Nothobranchius furzeri: one gene and its partners. The protein of the gene in region 1 purifies or fractionates together with the protein of each later gene. This does not show direct contact. Links are inferred from orthologs where the notes say so. Each region holds a gene or a part of one and is shown on either strand. Other genes may lie near its edges.

Region 1 (6,376 bases):
TAATAATAATGATAATAATATATTTTATTTTAAAAAGCACCTTTCAAGACACTGAAGGACACTTAACAATAATGGAGATAAAACAGACCAAAAACAACATAAATATTAAAACACAAAGATGTTAAAACATTAAAAGATGAAACTAGAAGGAAGAGTTTTTTTACTGCCAATAAAACTGGCACAAGAAATGTTCATAACTTCACTTTGCGTTTTGGATATTTGCTCCAACTCTAAATCAGCCTCGATACAAGTTAGTGAAATCTCTTGTCTAAAAACTAAAGTAGTTTTTGTTTGTTTACAGGTTTTACTGTGCAACACGCACCTCCCCTCCGTTTACGTAGTCAAGGACAAAGTAGAGTTTCTCAGCAGTCTGGAAGGAGTAGTGAAGTCGAACCAGAAACGGGTGTTTCAGACTCTTCAGTAGCACATTTCTCTCTGCCATGATGTTCTTTTGCTAAACAGAAAGTAAAAACAGAAACTTTCAAATAGTTTATGTTGCTTCTTTGCAGCTAAATATTGTTATGTTTGCAATTAAAGTGAAAACACAAAGTTGATGTTTCCCAGTGCTACCTGCAGTTCACACAGTCAGTGTGTTTACAAGTGCATCTAAGTCAATCTAGGTTGATCTAAAGTAATAACTGACAGCTTTACAGGTTTACATGTACGTTAGAAAACCCTCAAATGAAGTTCATTCCACTCCGGTACAGTAGGTGGCGACATGCCACATTCTTCCAGTTAGCTTATAGCAACACAGATCGAAAACAAAACAAATATTAATTTACTTTTCTTGCTAGTGTGTGTATATGAAATTGTATGTATTTGAATAGTATGAAATTGATTAAATTATGATCAAAAAGCTTTAAAACAACAACATATTTAATTCAAGGTAAAATATATATATATAAAAATACAAGCTTTTACTTTGGGATCATATATTTGTAAGTGACTCCAGAGCAGTCAGCGCCTCCCCAGTCATGAACCTCGCAACACGTCACTGTTACACGTGTTATTTTGGGTGAATATTTTTAAAAGACCGCTTCCACGGACTCGTCACTTCCGGAGGTTACCAGTATCAGCTCAACGTAGCCATTCACATGCAGATTCAGTCGCTTTCCTACTGCATTATCAGGTTGCTTCAGCTTGATTAGAACCAGTTCGCCTTCAGCAAAACTGACATGTTTACATGTATTTAAAATAAACAACGTCAGTCTATTTAGGGAAAATGTTTGGTTTTTTGATGCGCATGTTGCCATCTAGGTCAGAATCTCATATGTCCCAGCCTGGATTCAGACCCGGGCCCTCTGAGTGCAAGTCGGGCATTTTGCTAGTGAAGCTACCGCTTTGACACCTATTATTACCTGAAAATGTTTCTATTACCAAAAATGGTGTTAAAACGACGATGGCACTCCAATAAATGTTTGATATTTTAAAATCTGAACCATTATTACTATATTTTTTGAGAAGACTATTTCCAGAATGAAAGTTGAAACTTCTTTTCTGGTTGTGAATTCCACGTCTTTCGCAGCCTTGCCATTGGACCAATGTTTGCTAGGTGTGTCTGATTTCTGTTAAACAAACACATTTATGTGTGGAGTTTGGCAGATAACAACTGAGCAGCTTACAAGTGAAACTCGCTAAGACATTTACCATTCTCCCGATTTCAGTAATGGCAGCGCTCGACTGAACTTGAGGGGAAGCAGTGCGGGCTACAGCGGCATTGCTCTACGTTGTCCATATATGATACTGCACATCCTGCCTTTGTGACAACATCAAAGCCAGAACTCAAGATCTTGTTTTTGAGTGTGCTTGCTTGTGGGGTGCACGTGGGCTGGTTGAAGAAGCCAAGAGTAATAAAACGATCCAATGTTAAATGTCAGCTTCCCGGCCAGTGAAATATCACTAGGAATTATATTATGAACATTTTTCCAAGTTGAAAAGTGGAAAAGCGAAAATTTCAGGTGATGACTCCTTTAAATGTAAGGAATAATATACATTTACTTTTAATGTAAAAACATTTAACAATTACATTCAGGCGACTGAGTTTAGTGGAACTAGCTGAAATAACTTGGTTAAGTAAATTCAACATTTCATTTCTAGAGTGTGTTAATGAGTAAAATGCAAAATCTGCCTTTCCTGGGCTTCCTATTGTACTGTATACAGTAAAAATTAAGACCCTAATAAAGGTTTGTAGAAACTGGTAGATATAAAAGCTCCGTAAAACCCGAAGACACGGTTTTATCAGACTTCAAAGGAGCATAAAAGACTGACGTCTACGCCCACAAGCACTACAGGTGAAGACAGGCTTTTGAATTTAGCGTTCAGAAAATCAAAAATGACACGGGGCAATGATGTTTGTTCCATGGGCCTTCAACAGTTTAGGCTAAGCAGAAAAGAGCCTTTCAAAATAAGAGGAGAATCAGTGTCTTCAATTAGATATTCTCTCCATGTTGTTCGACAAACACAGAAGTAACCGGGTTTATTTTCTGTGGGCTGTAAAATGTGTCCTTTGCACGTAACAAGCTGGAGATTAGATAAGATGCCGGTCGTGTTGAGAGGTCAGAAAATTGTTTACTAATAACTCCCAAAGATAGATTTATGCTCAGACACAAACACATTTCCTCTTATGTCTGCTTTCAGATTGATTTGGTTTTTTTTTATGGATTCAGAGAAAAACAAAGAAAAACTTGGATAGAAATACCTCTTTTTTCTTCAGGATGATTTTCTTCTGCAACACTTTGACGGCGTAGAATTTGTTGTCGGCTTTGAGCTTGGCGAGCAGGACCTGCATGATGGTTTTCTTGTTAGTGGTTTGTTTAGTAAATATTCAGTACCAGCATCACATCACACTGCTGTCAGGACATTTCAGCAAAGCAAAGCATGCGGAAAGGTGATCGGAGGAAACAGCTGATACTGAGAAAAAAGAGCTACGTTGATTAAAAGAAAAAAGTACTATGAAAGCAACCATGAAGAGTTAACTTAATACATAAAACACAATTAGGTTTGGAAGACAAGTAGTTGCTAAAGGATTAGCAACAGTGTTTAATAAAATACTACATCTTGGGAAATTATTGGGGAAAATGTTGGATCAGTTCTTGTTTTGTCCTAATAAACAATCAGATAATAAATCAAAGATTATCTACATTTTATTTTGTTATTATGTCTTTCTTTTGGCTTTCCAATAAGCACACCAGTGAGCTTGGGCCTCCTGAACAAACAGTCCACAATCAGCTGAGAAGAATAAGTCCCTATTTTTATAGGAAGCTAAATATTTCCATTAGAAGTTAAGGGAATCATGCGTGTGCTGCGTAAAGGTTTCTACAATTCAGTTATAACATGCATGTGATTAGAGAAGCTAAGATTTCAGTATGATGGCGAAAACAAACCTAAATCCAAATCAACACCATTCCTTGCAGGACCTTTGGTTAAAGGTTCAGCAGGACAACAAACATGACTATAGAGTCTTAAATAATTAAAATGTTAAAAAACTTTTGTAGGACTGACTGATGTTGAGGAAAACCATAAAACGTCTCTGTGAGTGGCACAGCTAATGATTAATAAAGCACACATATTGATAAAGGTAGTTTATTCTGTTATTTTCTCCCTTCTGTCACACAAGGTCAGCACAGAAAAGAATTACAGCATAGTAAATGATTAAACTACAAAAACTATTCATTTATAAGAGGCTTGTCGTTTAATCAGGAACAAATAAACTAAGAAACCTGCACAGAACTAGAGGGTTAACGAGAAACCTGCTGACATCTAAACAGGAGATGCAGTCATCAATAAAGAGATAAATAAGTAGTTGTTTCAGTTTTACCTTTCCAAAGGTCCCTTTACCAATGACAGCCAAGAAGTCAAAGTCTGTTGGTCTGGCACTGTACAGAGATAGGAGAAATGTGAGTAAATGTGGTTCATTTGCAGACAAAAAGACATAAAATTTGGAATTAAATGTGCTTAGGAACTACACTGTAAAACTGAAAAGTTGAATTTGCTTAACCAAATTATGTCACCTGATTCCGCTAGACGTAGTTGCTTAAATGTAAAGAGTAATATACACTGTTAAACTTTTTTCGTTAAATGTAAATGTATATTTGTCTTTACATTTATAACTGCAATAGCAAATATGGAAAATAAATTACCTTAAAACATTTTCACGCCTTGTTCTAATGTAGTATAGCTATGACTATCTTGTGGAGATTAAAAAATATGAAAAAAATTAATTAAGTAGTTGTCTTGCATTTGTCCTAAAACCTCCACCAATAACACATTTCAGACCGAAAGCAACCACTGGACCATCCGGTTGTTGGACTTGCTCAACTGCCACACTTGGGTCCTCCACACATTTGCATATTTAGCAACAAAACACCCCTGATGTGAGAGGTTTGTGTCTCAATAATATAAGAGTTGGACAAACAGCCGGCTAATACCACTTTAACTTCAGGACAAACTACCAGTCTCAAAATGAAAAACGTCATTTGAAATCACGGACAACAAAAGACGTTTGGACCTAGAAAACGGTACCTGGTGTTTAGCACTATCTCGTTTCCTCCAGTTTCGGAAGAAGTGCCTCAGGGAAGATACCCAAGAGGAAAGGGTGAGTGTTCCATGACCGTGTTTGAATTCAAAACCTAGCTTGTTTGCAGATTTGCTATAACACCTTTAAGTAACGAGGTTTAGTGGAGCCAGTTGACAACTTGGTAAATTCAACATTTCCTTTCTTAGAGTGTACTATATGTAGTATTTATATACAAGTACAAAAAGAGACTGTAGATCTAGATCACTGTCTGTACAACGTTTGGTTTGGTTTGCCAAATAGAAGAAAGATTGTTATTATAATGCACAACTAAAGGACACTGAGGTGAACTAGTCATACACGTGGTCCAAGGTTAAGTTAAAGTCCTCGAGGTCATGAAAGAATCCGTTCACAGCTAGACGTCTCTCACTTCAGTCAGTGTTAAGTTTAATAAATGTCCACGGCCGCCCCTCTACTGTTTGTTAAAGATTATCTTAAGAAGTCAGAAGGTTCATGGAAAAGGGGTTTTGTAAACAGATGATACAAAAGCTGAACTTCCTAAAGACAAAAAGAAAAAATATCACTGCATTCCAGGACAAGACCCTCGGCAGAGAAGATTTTAATGGATCACTAAATTCTGATGAATACAAAAAACTTGTTCATAAACCGAGATTCGATAAAAGGTGACTCACGGAGCCGGACAACAGCCCTGAAGGTAAGACAGGAATTCTATTAGGTCAAAACTTTTTTATGGAAGGACCTGTTTTCCTGCAATATTAGGATCTGTTCTTTTACCGGTAAAGGGCCGAAAACCCCAGATGTTCTATTCAAACTGTAACTTCTGTGACGTTCCAAACAACATTTATGCAGAAATGTTTACACGTGGGCTAATCCATCTGAGTAAACATCAGCCTGAGCACAACTACTGACTGTGGGTTTGCTGAAGGTCCCAAATTGACATCGTCATGAGAAGAAGGGGATGCTGATCGCAACTGGAAAAAAAACACAAGATTACTTAAAAGCCAACAGGAAATACACACGTATGTCATTGACACTGATCATAAACTGCTTCTATTAAATAAGAAACACTTATTAACTTCTAATCCTCTGCATTTAAGGCATCCATGCATCCTTGACTCGCAGATTAACTAGAATAGCTAAATTTTGATATTACATTTGTTAATAACTATAAAATTCCACATGATGTGAAAATGGCAGTGCTGGAAAGGTTTATAACTAAAGGTTGCATCAGCCACTTTAACATTTATGAGATTGATGATCTTTAAAACGTCAGCAAAGAACATTGGTGTTGCCTCCATTCAGACTAGCCGTTAGCTCATCAGTCTTCTAGAACGTGTGCTTTTTTTCTGAACAGAAGTCAACTGATGCTGTCCAAACTAGGCCAAATAATAGTTATTTATACATTTTACAACGAAAATCACTTCAAAATGTCATGAAAGTGAACAAATCAGGCTGCAGAGTTTTAAGACAAAAAAGGGAACAAACACTCACATTACAGTGTGCCATGGTTCTTAAATTCTGGTCTCTCTGAAGACCCACCAGGAACATCAGTGTTTGACCAACCTGTGGGAGGAGAGCAGACATTTAGGACTCAAACATGTCCTACAGTCGTTTCCTTATTTAGCCGATTTCTTCTTGCTGCGTTTCATTTTGGCAAAATCAGCTGCTGACTGCGGTATTTCACACCCCAAGGATCCAAATGATCGGTTTCCGTGGAATGAAATGCTGACAAAACAATGAGGTGCATTGTGTGAGTAATAGATAAACGTGCAAATGCATTGTTCTCATTGTGGTCAGTGTTTATAAAGTCCCAGTAATGGTACTGACTCTCTGAAGACAAAA
Region 2 (7,031 bases), on another chromosome or scaffold:
TGAGCTGGAAGACCAGTTAGGCATTGCAGTAGTCGAGGCACATGACTGTAGATTGCGCCAGGAGGTATATTGTGTTAGGTAGTCTAATCATTTGTATGTTATTTTTCTATTTCAGTAAATAGCTTTGATCCAACAAGTTACAAAGTATGGTGCAAGTTACAACTATTTTACACAGTTTTAAGTGATTGATAAGTATACTATAAAGTTAACTTTTAAGATTGATCTAAATGTGTTCATGTCTCCCTCTGGTGGAGAAGGTAATGTCTAGAAAAAACAAAGTCCCAAGAGTGGAAACTAAAGGATCCAGATAAACAAAAACAAGGTATTACAGCTTTTTATTTTCTGCAAAACAAGACTTGTCGCACAGGCAGGCCTGAACTCAGGCAAAAAGAACCAAACAGTCCTCTCCCTCCATGCAGCATTGCACATGAACTGATTTTAGCAAACCCTTTGAACGTCAGACTATAGACCAACATCTGAACATTTACCACAAACATTTAAGTCGGAGCAACAGTACTAAAAAAAACAAAACAAAAAAAAAAAATCACTTTTGTAATTTCACAGCAAAATAAAAGTTTTTCGAAGGAATAGCAGTGTAAGGTTCCAGTAACAGCAACTCTGGTCCTCCACACCACAGGAATGATTTAATTTACAGTTACTGCACTTTTAGGGAATAAACTACTGGTAAAACAGGGTTTTAAGTGTTTTGAAGTGTGGTAAAGTCCGTTTAATCAACCTCTTCCATTCGTGAAGCATCTTCATCACCTTCAAGAGGTGGCATCTCTTCTGGAACAGATGTGGTGGTGGTGGTCTCTTCTGTTGGAATGTCATCATCATCAATACCTAAAAAAAAAAAAAAAAAAAAAAAAAAAAAAAAACCCCATAAGCACACATTAGAAAGGAGAGAAATAAAAACCCACCAACAGCTAATCTGATGAGTTCCTACCAAGGCCAAGTTTGATCATCCTGTAGATACGGTTGGAATGAGTCTGTGGATCATCGAGAGAGAAGCCTGAAGAAAGCAGGGCCGTCTCAAAGAGCAGGACAACAAGGTCTTTCACTGCTTTGTCGTTCTTGTCAGCCTCAGCCTTCTGCCTCAGAGTCTCCATGATTGGATGGTCAGGGTTGATTTCCAAGTGCTTCTTGGCCATCATGTAACCCATGGTGGAGTTGTCCCTGAGTGCCTGGGCCTTCATGATCCTCTCCATGTTTGCCGTCCAGCCATACGTGCTTGTCACAATGCAGCAAGGGGAAGACACCAGCCTGTTGGACACAGTCACCTGGAGGAAATTAAGCACAAAGGTTTACACCATGTTGGACCACAAGGAAACCCTTCATGAAAACTTAAGCCTACAGGGAAAGGAAACCCAAAACACACACCTTCTCCACTTTTTTGTCGAGGATCTCCTTCATGAGCTTGCAGAGGTTCTCATATTTGGCTTTGTCCTCCTCCATCTTTTTCTTCTCATCCTCATCTTCAGGCAGCTCTAGACCCTCCTTGGTGACAGAGACCAGGGTCTTGCCATCGAACTCCTTCAGCTGCTGGACGCAGTACTCATCAATGGGCTCTGTCATGTACAGCACCTCAAAGCCACGTTTGCGGACACGCTCGACGAAGGCGGAGTTGGCCACCTGATCTTTGCTCTCACCTGCAGAGAAACCAGATCCTCAGCAAGGATGAACAAGTCTACGGGGAGGTGTGGTTTCCAGATAGTGTGTGTTAGTACCAGTAATGTAGTAGATCGACTTCTGGTTTTCCTTCATGCGGGTGAGGTACTCAGTCAAGGAGGTCATCTCATCACCAGACTGGGAGCTGTGGTAGCGCAAAAGCTCAGACAGCTTCTTGCGGTTCTGAGAGTCCTCATGTATGCCCAGCTGAGGAAAAAAGCAACCAAACATGATCTTTAAATGCAAAATACAGCAATGCGTCCCTCAGTTTATAAAACACACCAAGCCAATTCAGATGAATCCACCATTTAGTTTCAATACCTTCATGTTCTTTGAGAAAGCCTCGTAGAATTTCTTGTAGTTGTCTTTGTCCTCCGACAGTTCTGCAAACAGCTCCAAGCACTTCTTGACTATGTTTTTGCGAATAACCTTCAGGATCTTGCTTTGCTGCAGCATTTCTCTGGAGATGTTGAGGGGCAGGTCCTCAGAGTCCACAACACCACGGATGAAGTCTTGAGTGGACAAAGTAATTTTAAATGCATTAGCCATTTAAAGAGTCTGTGGAATCATTTCAGACCACAGTGGAAAATGCAGCTGAACTTACTCAGATACTCAGGAATGAGCTCCTCACAGTTGTCCATGATGAAGACCCGCCTGACGTACAGCTTGATGTTGTTCTTCTTTTTCTTGTTCTCGAAGAGGTCAAAGGGTGCACGGCGAGGAATAAAGAGCAGGGCTCTGAACTCCAGCTGGCCTTCCACAGAGAAGTGCTGAAAGAAAATAAAGCATTAGAAAAAAAATCAGCCCGCAGGGTTAAAACTTTGTCGGAAACTCGTGTACCTTGACAGCCAGGTGATCCTCCCAGTCATTTGTTAGACTCTTGTAGAATTCACCATATTCTTCATTTGTGATGTCATCGGGGTTCCTGGTCCAGATGGGCTTGGTCTTGTTCAGCTCCTCCTGATCAATGTACTTCTCCTTGATCTTTTTCTTCTTCTTCTTGTCCTTGTCTTTGGAATCCTCCTCATCATCTGAACCCACATCTTCAATCTTGGGCTTGTCTTCAGCTTCTTCTTCTTTCTCCTCTTTCTCGGTCTTTTCCTCCTCTGCCTCGTCGTCACTAATCTCCTTGTCGCGCTCCTTCTCCACCTGCGACATAAAAGCTTTAGAAATCTGCCCAAGACTTAAAATTTTTAAAACGTACTTTTAAGCACTTACAAACAAGGTGATGGGGTAGCCAATGAATTGAGAGTGCTTCTTAACGATCTCCTTGACCCTCTTGTCCTCCACATACTCTGTCTGGTCCTCCTTCAGGTGCAGAATGATCTTAGTTCCACGGCCAATGGGCTCGCCTGAAAACATTTGAGGAATTTTCAGAAAAGCTAAAATAAACTAGAGTAAGCAAGTAGTGCACACTCAGACGTCACTGGTGATGGTTAGAATTACACACCGCTGTCAACCTTGACTGTGAAGGAACCTCCAGCAGATGACTCCCAGGCGTACTGCTCATCATCATTGTGTTTGGTGATGACGACCACTTTCTCAGCAACAAGATAAGCAGAGTAAAAACCCACACCGAACTGACCAATCATTGAGATGTCAGCACCAGCCTGGAGGAATAAAACAAATTTAGCTTCACAAGATCAGTCAGTCTCTTAAGATCCTGTGCAGGCCATTATGGGATGCGTAGTACCTGGAGGGCCTCCATGAAGGCCTTTGTGCCCGACTTGGCGATGGTGCCCAGGTTGTTAATAAGGTCAGCTTTGGTCATGCCAATCCCGGTGTCAATCAGGGTCAAAGTCCGGTCAGCTTTGTTGGGAATGATGTCAATTTTCAGATCTTTGCCAGTGTCCAGTTTTGAGGGGTCAGTCAAGCTTTCATAGCGGATTTTGTCCAGAGCCTGAAAACAGGGAATAGCGGTTAGTTTCTTCCTTAAAGTCAGAAGAATACTGAAGCTTCAGCAGACTCACATCAGAAGCGTTTGAGATCAACTCCCTAAGGAAGATCTCTTTGTTGGAGTAGAAGGTGTTGATGATCAGGGACATCAGCTGAGCGATCTCTGCCTGGAAGGCAAAGGTCTCAACCTCCTCCTCTTGGTGCATTTCTTCAGGCATCTGAAAATATAACAAAGTCACTTCAGTAAATGAAAGTGAAACAGAACTTAAGATAGTTTCAAAGTAACGCGATTTCGTCAAGTGGCTTCATTAAGTTGGATGGCCGCTGCAGCAGTCTGCTACATAAGGGCGGAAGTGTCAGTTAACAAACATGGCTTCTACTAGACAATGGACGCAGCAAACACGTGCTGGCGAACGATTAAGGCGGATCAACTCAAGTCACTTTAATAGATAAACAATGCGACGACGACTTCCATAAATACTACAAACGTACTTGTTTTAGCCTCCATGTGATAGTTTCAGTAAAACGTGGAGGTTAATTGAAACCGCGTTCAATTACGTAACGACCAAATGAACACTACCCCTCGTGGCTGGTAACCAGGCCTTATTACGCACACATTAAACTCAGTGTACCGGTTTAACGTGGGTTTATAACGGATTTAATCAGGCCGAGAACTCGATCCAGCGGAGTCACCGTCACCACACCTGCCTGACATCACGGTGCCGCATTCCCGCTGCTCAAGAGCATCACTACGATGCTCGGAAACATAAGCAAATAGTAGTCTCTCGAGAGGAAAATGAAAACATCAGCCGACGTACTAGGCGTCTGTCTTCCACGAAACACTTATTCGACCACCATATTAACCTCTGGATTTTCATTAACTAATAATGTTCGTTAAACACATACATACCGATGATATTTTAACAAACTTATAAAGGTAAGGATGTCTGACACGAGCTACGGACCCGTTAATGTACGCACCTTGGTAATTTCGTTGACTTTTTCTTGAATAAAATGCAGCAAAAGTGTAGTCCCTTGCGCTCCCTGACTGAAGAAAAAGGAAAGGAACTACTTTTCGGCACCAGACCAGTCTTTATACACGTGGGTCGCAGTGTGCAGTCGTATCCATCCGCAGTTCACGAGCTACAACCTGAAGCAATCACTTTTATGTAAAACCGCAGCCAGAACTAAACACACATTGTATGCTTCCTCACTGGAAAAGAATAATCTATTATTCACGTTTTGTTGGGTAAAAAGGGTTTAAATGCCAATTATGCAATCTAAGTAAAGAAAATGTATACGAAGTCGGACCTTAGTGTAACGTTGTCGCCATCTTGTGGTAGGTTGAGCTACAGCAAACCATGCACTGAGAGGCGATGTTTTTTGATCTCAATCATCCCATCTAGCGACAACATAGAGAAATGATTCGCATAACACTAAAACCACGCGTCAAGTTCAAATCTCAAGTGGCGTCTAGTTTCCCTGAAATTCGACATAGACTGTGGGTCTTTTTACTCCGACGGATGAATATTTCAAACACGAGAAGGTGTGCTTCGTTTCTTCTAGCCTGCTTCTAGCACTTTCCATGAAAGCCCCGCCTTAAAGTGACGTCACAGATCTCCCCCTTTCCTCTCCCGACGTATCATCTGTCACAAAATGTTCCTACAGCAAAAACGCCTTAACAACCATCAACTCAACCCTTTTCCGTACTGAATCATGAGAATATATGCTTTATATTGTCAAATGAACTAATGGTTGTTATTATATGAATTACAGATTTTCTTATGGACATAGAACACCAGTGGAAGATGGACTGCTATACATAAATGTAATACTATATTTGTCATGTTGATCACGACTTTGGAATTGAGTTTTTAGTACAGTGTAAGGGGAAGAAGTCACTGTTGTCAAGTGGATTAGAGTGGAATAAATGTACGCAGTTAGACCCATCAAATGCAAGAGATGCACAAATGATTATGATTCAGCTTTCTATTATGTAGTTTAACTACAGAAGACACATTTATAAATTTAGATAGTAACCTCAGTGATAAATAACAGAAGTACAGTCATACTTTGCATACAGAATATGTTATTTATTAGTTACAATTTCAGAATTGGTAAGAATGACCATTTTAACAATAATGTACACAGAATTTTTATGTACTCTTTTAAAAAACATTTAAAAAGAAGTTTAACATTGAAATAATCATATGATGGCTTTATCCTCTAATTGATTAAAACGAGTAGGAAAATCACAATGCTGTTTTTTTATGTGATCAGATGTTTTGTAAATTAAACCGATTAGAAACAAATCGTTTTAATAAAAAAAATGCGGACCGCTTTTTTGGTGTAACTTAATTTCAATGCTATTATTATTCAACCTTTTTTATTCATTTAGTTACTACCGCGCATTAGGTCTTCCAAGGTTAGTTAGGTAATCTGATCGAACCCTGTTAGCAGAAGTTTCGTTTCCTGAAAAGGGTTCATTTTGCGAATTCACATTAAGCCCCGTTCAGTGTATACACTCTGGTGCACAAAACAAGCGCGCCAGTACTCTTGCTCCTAAAGCGCGTGCGTCAAACTTTTCGAGGGCCCGCGACCAGCTAGCGTGCTAATCAGGCGTCCAGAACGTTAGCTATTAATTCACTATCATTAACATTTTTAGTGGATTTTATCTCATCATACGCCACCTGGTTGAGTGGTAGGTATATGTAGAGGCTTTTATATTTACTTCGAGCTCATGTTTAGCCTTGGGAAAGTCAGTGTTTTATTATAAATTAACATCTGCTCGGGCTAGGTTACTTTAGCATTTTAGCTGTGCCGGTGTTATATCGGGTAACGTGCTCATTGCTAGCTTTAGCGTACTTAGCTGTTGTGTGTGGTTAGTCTTAATATTGTTGAGATGTTAATATTTTTAAGAAGTTTGGACTTTGTTACTTCTAATTAGCGAATGGCACCTCACAAAGTTTGGCTAAGTTTAGTTAACGTTCCAGCAAAGTCAAATAAAAGTCACTATCGATTTGTAATGTTCACCACCGAGACCTTCAGTGTTTCCTCATTGTGGATACACTAATGTTCGCTCCCTCTGTGTTTTTACTTGAGCTGTTTGGACGTTTTTACCTTATGCAAACAACACTAATGGCCTTTAATGTGTCTTCTTTAGGCCACATTCACCCTCAAAATGTCCTTCCCTCCTCATTTAAATCGACCGCTGTTGCCCCCACCTGGGATTCCTCCTCAGTATGCTGGCTTCCCCACAGGTAAGTACCAACCAGGCTCCCGTAAATTACGCAACATGACACCTCTTAGATGCTCATTATTTGTAATAATTTAATTAATTTCATATTCACAGTCTTAACAACTTTTTTTTGTTGCATGTGCTGCAGCTCCTATGATCCCTGTCCACATGGGCATCATGGCCCCCACCCCTGCAGTCATGGTCCAGTCTGTTCCAGTCCTCAGTAAGC
Region 3 (6,376 bases), on another chromosome or scaffold:
TATGTATATATAAATATATATATATATATATATATATATATATATATATATATATATATAAATATATATATATATATATATATGTGTATGTATATGTATATATATATACACACATATATATACACACACATACATAGACCACTGGGCTAATAGTTTACTCCTTTTATCCAAAATCCATATTGCACATCTTAAAAAATAATAATTTTGCAAAGTTTCAAGTCTGATTCCCAACATGATATGCGCAAGCAGCTGCCTTATAAAAGGCTCAATACCAAATCAGAGGTCTGAAAACCAGCAAATGTCAACTTGAAAACAAAGTATGAAGGCACATATTAACACAGTAGCCAAATACATATGCACACACACACACATACACATTTATATATATATATATATATATATATATATATATATATATATATATATATATATGTGTGTGTGTGTGTGTGTGTGTGTGTGTGTGTGTGTGTGTGTGTGTGTGTGTGTGTGTGTGTGTGTATATATATATAAATATATATAGAAAACCAAAGGAAGAGATTCTCAGTGTTTTGAATTTAAACTGCTTTTTCCAATAAAAATGGGTGAAACCTATTCACCGATCTACACAAAGTCACGTTGTCGTTCGACCTCCACGGGGGAACGATCTGGTTGTTCTACTGTACTAGAGACAGAGAATTGCCATCTGCTTTGCTCGCGCACATGTGGTCCACGGGATTTGGGATGAAGAGGTTGTAGATTTGAGGTTGTTATTCCACCTTTTCTCTGCCTCTGTTCTTCTGTTACGAAGCACAGTCCTGACTCCTCCGTCGTCGTTTAATGCACATTTCACCGTTCATGCTGCTCCTCCTCTTCGTCTTCCCCTTCTTTTCAGAGAATAAGATAAACAAATACAAAAAATCAAAAATAATTAAAGTTTTATGTTTCCAAAATTTTAGTTTCAAACACCTTTAATAGCATAAATATTCTGATAACATTTCTTATTGCTGCATTTTCACTTAAATGTTTAATCTTGCCACTAGAGGGCAGTATAATGTTTAACAAAGCATTCACAGAAAGGCTGGACAAATTCAGATTGAAATCAAAACAATTAAATATGTGTGTATATATATATATATATATATATATATATATATATATATATATATATATATATATATATATATATACATATAGTGCAGCCAGAATTTATACATTTCAGATCATTATTGTTATTTCAACTGGAAGCATGATTTAATAGACTAATCATAACTTTCTTTTTTTTCTTCTGCTTCTTCTTTTAAAGTAGTTAAAGGTGTGGGTCACTCGTTTAATCAATACATTTGTAGTGGTCTTTAGTAGGAATGAATGCCTTGTAAGTCGTTCTCATTGGGGGCAATGCTAATTTATTATCTCCACAAATAGCACAAGACTGTAGGAGTTCTGCTGTGTGGTGGAGTTGCTAATGCTGAAGTTAGCTTAAACTAGCCGAGACGTTCTCTGCTATTTCCTGGATGCTAAAGCAACAACAGCCTTCCATGTCGTGAGTCAAAGACGGAGTCCATGAATGCTAATTGATGTAATGTGAAGTAGATCTGTCAGGCTTTTCAAATCCTAACGTTTTACCATCTATTTTCTATCAGAAGCTACTGCACAAGATTAGTGTAGGAGACTATCTTCATGTTAAGCCTGCATGAAAAACTCAGAGTGATCGATTCTAATCAGAAATAATCGTTAAAAAATGGTTTTCGCTGTTCCACAACTTTAAATTTGAAATTAGCAGACCGAGTGTGAGCCCATCCAAGTAAGATTCTTTAAATGTTTGGTTTCGTTCAGTTTTAAAAATAAGTTATGAAAAATTATTTGAATTACAATTTTTAAACATCAGTTTCAACGGCAACACTCAGTCAGTGTTGGCTCCTATTACGTTAGGAGTCAGTTAAGACTTAAAAGGTTTTAAACGTTAGTGGGAAAGTGTAACTAAACAAAGGAAAGCAAAGGGAAGGGAAAAATATGTCTGAGTGAGTGTTTACAGACCTTTGAGTCACGCTCTGCAAATTTCTGGAACATGTTAGCATAGATCATTTTCTCCTGGGCTTGATGTTCCTTCATTTTGTTCTGGCATTTGGAAATTTGACCACGAGCTGCTCGATTCGACGGGTTGACTTCCAGCACTCTTTGAAAGTCCAACAAGGCTAGGTTGTACTCGTTGCGGAGGAGCCGGGCCTCCCCACGGCGATACAGAGCCTTCTCATTGCTCGCATCCTGTTCAATTACCTTAAACACACAAACACACAGTATGAGAAGGAACTCAGCTGCTGCAGGAGGTGGTGATCTAATCATCAGGGTCACGCAGCTCACCTTGTTACAGTTGTCCACCACTTGTGAGAACTCCTTTAGCCGAAGGAAACACAACGCTAAATTAAGATGAGCCGTCATAACGTAGTCCTGGATCTTCTTGTATTGCTCCATTCCAGAGCCACACTCCAACTCCAGCCAGGAAATGATGCGCTGGTACTGGATGACCGCCTGGTGGTACCGTCCTGCCTGATTATAGATTTTCAAAATAAGTTAGGATTATTTAGATGAGAAGCAGAATGATTCATTTGAACACAATCACAGATACGTTACCTTAACATACTGATTCCCTTTGCTTTTCACCGCAGCAGTCAATTCCAGCTTTTCACTCAAGTCCATTTCCCAGGACTCTTTAGCCTTTAAAATAAAACAGCAAACATTAATTTAGGGTTTTGATGTTTGTAGGTAGTAGGTTTGATATGTGCTTAAATGTGTCTAAAATGAGACTTGAACCCAAAATACCATGCATATGTTTTGTATTGTATCTGGTAAATAAAGGTTTTCTTTGTTCAATCAAAGAAAATGGAAACTCACCCTAGTGAAGTCTTTAAGAGTAACTTCATATGCAATTTCTTTGTCTGGTCCAATTTTGAACTCCGGTTTACCTTCGTTTCCAAAGCCATACCTGTAAAAAGAAAAGCATGTCAATAATGCTTAAGCATTAAAGGAGTCGATTACTTGTTTAATCAATACAACTAGCATAAATAACGAGCTTCGTCTGTTACGCTGCATGCTAGAAGAGTGGTGGACTTCAGGCATTTTAGCAAATGAGTCAGAGATGAGTCCTTTAACCTGTTTTACTGATGCACAAGAATCCACAGTTCTTATACAACACCTCTACCTCAGATTTAACCTGTAAATACTAAGTGGAAAATGTTGCAGTTTCACAAAAAAAAAAAATCTCGAAGTCCGAACAATAGCTGTGTTCTCGTTACTCCTGAACTCTTCAATCAAACATACTCTCTCCCTGGGAAGCATTAAGGAAAGCTTCAGATTTCCATTGAAGAAATCAAAAACTATATGCTTTCCTACCAATAGGCATTTTGTTGCATTCTTAAATTTTATTTTGCAGTACTTAAACCTTATTGGAAATGCAAAAGTGTTTCTTTTCACAAAATTTAGTTACTTCGATGAGAAAAAAAAACATATCAATTATTAATCTGCAAACAACTTTGTGACGTCGCTATAAAAAACATTTTCATTTTGCAGAAACAGCTGCTGAAATCCTTTGTAAATGGCATGAGATGAAAACAACAAACTAAAATTATTATTATTGTATGACAGATTCAAGCTGTGGTTAATGAAAGCCCCCTCAGAATGACTCATGCAAATGACACAGATGGCATTTTTGAAGGATTTGTAAGAAACTTACTTTGGTTTTAACTGAAGTAAACAGCACTCTCCTTTTTGCATCTTGTCCATAGCTCGGTCCACCCCCAAAGGAATGCCTTTATCTTCACCTTGACCAACAGTAAAGCTAACGTCTCGGCAGTCAAACAACCGGTCCCCACATCGTCCCTCCACGTGAACTGCAGGACAACAAGATGCAATTTAACCTCCGATTTATGTTTTATATCAAACCAAAACAATTATGCCTTTCAAACTAATTGTGTCACTACCATCGACATTTGCTCCATCGTTGGGGTTACTGTAACCGTCACCTTTGACCTTTATTCTCCTGATGATGCCGCCATCCTCTGACAGCACCTCTCCTTCAAAGTTAAGCAGCTCCATCTGTTAGAAAAACAAAAATTCTTTATAGATCATAAAGCTAAAGCAGAAAACAAAATATGTGCAGAATTCAACACATGTAGGAGGAAATAATAAAAAAGTGAGAGACGTGTTAATAAAAAATTGTGATATAATGATGTCTGCTGGAGAAGTGTGAAACTGGATGTGCATCGTTTATGCACTGAAACCCGACAGAATGTGTGCACGAACACAGCAAAAATCCTGCAAGTTACTTTCGTTATTTTTTCTTGCATTTTTTAGTTTAAATGAAATTTTAAAAGATGCTTATTTGACTGTTGCTGAATCTGTTATTTTTACTAATGCAAAATCAGATAAACAGTATTTTTGAGCATATCCTTGACAAAAAGAAGCAGGGCCTGCGGTGTTGCTAAGCTACTTCTTCCTAAGTATTGAAATGTCAAATTATCTCTAAATTTGCTGGACTGTGATAAAAGTTTGTATCCATTTTAAAATGTCACCACAACTTTCGAACTTCATCCCCAGAGCTGAGCACTCTTGCTGCTGTGGTTTTGCAAAAACAGATTAATTAGTCCAGTTTAGCTAATTTAGTTTTCTCTGAGAAAAATTACCTAAGAGGCCTTTTTCTAGTCATTCCTTACGCTGATATTTAATTTTCTCTTTGTTTATGCCACAATTTACAGATTGTTTAAACCTTAAAGAGTATGATATGCTTTAGTTTATGTCTCTAAATATAAATATGTGACCAATCAGGCTGCACCGCTAGACATGTAAATTTTCCCTTTGCAATACATTATAATAAGGCCAAATTCAAAAGCTTAATTACACAAATGTCTGAAAACCAGAGAGGAATGTTGGGAATGAGTGGCACTCAGACAATACGTGCTGTTTTGTAGGCAGAAGGATTAAAGGAGACAAACTTCTTAATTTTCTATCAGTTTAATCTTCAAATTAACAAGACGTGCTTCTGAATCAGCAGATTCCCTCACATTAATGAAGAATTAATGCATGGCACAAACGCACTGACCTCAAACACCACTGAGGAGTTTGGAGGAATTTTGTCAGGATTTCCAGCAGATCCATAAGCGTATTCCGGCTTACAGAGCAGCGTGCACACCTCACCTCTCCGCATGGACAATACGCCGATGTCCCATGCCTTCAGGACTTGTCCTGTCAGAAAATAAGGAGCCAGAAAGTAAGGAGCCATTATTTTCTCTGCCTGGCAGGAATACTGAGAATATAAAGGCACAAATATCAGAAATATCCATGTTTGTAAAATTCTGAGCAACTTGAAAAACAAGGAAAAGTTCTTTTTTCCATTTATCAGCTTATCTAATATACAGCTCACTGTGTGAAGCCTGCATGTCTTTTTGATACAACTGAGCTCTTGTGTTTTACAGCAAGGCATGAAGACAGCTACCTTTGCCCACATTGAAGCAAAAAGGTTCTTTGCGCTGTCGGCTGCAGTCAAATTTCTTCCCAGAGAGCAGTTTTCCAGTGTAGTGTAAGGTGACTTTGTCCCCGATCATTGGACGGTCCCCATTGTCCCCCTGACGCTTCACAACCTGGCCACAGAGACAGTTTTCCATTTGGCACAGAAATCTAACACTGTAACACCAAAAGAGGAACAATTTTAATTGCGTAGCGGGCATAAATAACGACTGAACACCTTGATAACTCCTTGGTCTTTGTTTGGCGTTACGTCGATGCCCTTTGCAGTAAACACAGCTGCTGCTGCTGACTGGTCGTCCATGTCTAAAAACCGATCTGTGGTCATTTTTGTTCTACGAGCTTCACACTATCCCGCTGAAAAAGATACAGAAACACAAACCAGTTTGTTATTCTAAGCTCCTGTGAGTTAACAGGGTTTTTTTTATTCATTTCACAGAATGTTTTCACGTAAAAATGATCATGCACCTTACCCTTCCTGATACAACTGGGCTAGGCTAACGGCTAGTCCAGGCACAGCCATTAACAACAGACCACCAAACAGCACCAATCTCAAAAGTTTATGCTATTTTATAAAGCTTTACACTGACATTAATTATGAGTTACGCAATTATTTCAGCAGAAATATGAAGATATTCCTGCAAAGTGCTAGATTTAATGAAACTGTAGATATACACTCATAAATAATAACAGAAGGTTTAATAGTAATATTTACATTAACTGCTGATTTGAGAGATGTGATTGCATCAATACATTTTGGTTTTAGCTGCACTCTGACTAGCCATTAGCTCATCAATTACCTTAAAGCTATTTATCTCAACAAAGGCTGTTCAAGGGAGCTATCTACAGGAAATATATATAAATTTTTTATAATACAGGAAAA

The links.
Region 2: the proteins of sgk2a (region 1) and hsp90ab1 purify together in Homo sapiens (affinity purification with mass spectrometry; 3 studies listed by BioGRID and IntAct, with this or other methods). This does not show direct contact. The link is inferred for Nothobranchius furzeri from reciprocal best matches to the Homo sapiens genes SGK2 and HSP90AB1.
Region 3: the proteins of sgk2a (region 1) and fkbp5 purify together in Homo sapiens (affinity purification with mass spectrometry; 3 studies listed by BioGRID and IntAct, with this or other methods). This does not show direct contact. The link is inferred for Nothobranchius furzeri from reciprocal best matches to the Homo sapiens genes SGK2 and FKBP5.

Annotation. Positions count from the first base shown.
Region 1 is NC_091755.1:32,919,523-32,925,898, reverse strand, and holds part of sgk2a (serine/threonine-protein kinase Sgk2), read right to left. Parts: intron 6,098-6,376; 5' UTR 6,083-6,097; coding exon 6,026-6,082; intron 5,506-6,025; coding exon 5,444-5,505; intron 3,876-5,443; coding exon 3,818-3,875; intron 2,783-3,817; coding exon 2,699-2,782; intron 455-2,698; coding exon 323-454; intron 1-322. UniProt on the Homo sapiens protein: Serine/threonine-protein kinase which is involved in the regulation of a wide variety of ion channels, membrane transporters, cell growth, survival and proliferation.
Region 2 is NC_091742.1:8,413,840-8,420,870, forward strand, and holds hsp90ab1 (heat shock protein HSP 90-beta), read right to left. Parts: upstream 4,687-7,031; 5' UTR 4,546-4,686; intron 3,783-4,545; coding exon 3,639-3,782; intron 3,569-3,638; coding exon 3,362-3,568; intron 3,279-3,361; coding exon 3,119-3,278; intron 3,021-3,118; coding exon 2,887-3,020; intron 2,818-2,886; coding exon 2,509-2,817; intron 2,439-2,508; coding exon 2,273-2,438; intron 2,181-2,272; coding exon 1,990-2,180; intron 1,876-1,989; coding exon 1,728-1,875; intron 1,650-1,727; coding exon 1,381-1,649; intron 1,281-1,380; coding exon 947-1,280; intron 844-946; coding exon 728-843; 3' UTR 437-727; downstream 1-436. Other genes in the region: rbm25b (RNA-binding protein 25b), read left to right, coding at 6,746-6,824, 6,951-7,031. UniProt on the Homo sapiens protein: Molecular chaperone that promotes the maturation, structural maintenance and proper regulation of specific target proteins involved for instance in cell cycle control and signal transduction. Undergoes a functional cycle linked to its ATPase activity.
Region 3 is NC_091743.1:66,794,532-66,800,907, forward strand, and holds the end of fkbp5 (peptidyl-prolyl cis-trans isomerase FKBP5), read right to left. Parts: intron 5,851-6,376; 5' UTR 5,822-5,850; coding exon 5,714-5,821; intron 5,610-5,713; coding exon 5,465-5,609; intron 5,215-5,464; coding exon 5,072-5,214; intron 4,069-5,071; coding exon 3,954-4,068; intron 3,864-3,953; coding exon 3,707-3,863; intron 2,960-3,706; coding exon 2,869-2,959; intron 2,692-2,868; coding exon 2,608-2,691; intron 2,524-2,607; coding exon 2,338-2,523; intron 2,254-2,337; coding exon 2,014-2,253; intron 864-2,013; coding exon 780-863; 3' UTR 548-779; downstream 1-547. UniProt on the Homo sapiens protein: Immunophilin protein with PPIase and co-chaperone activities. Component of unligated steroid receptors heterocomplexes through interaction with heat-shock protein 90 (HSP90).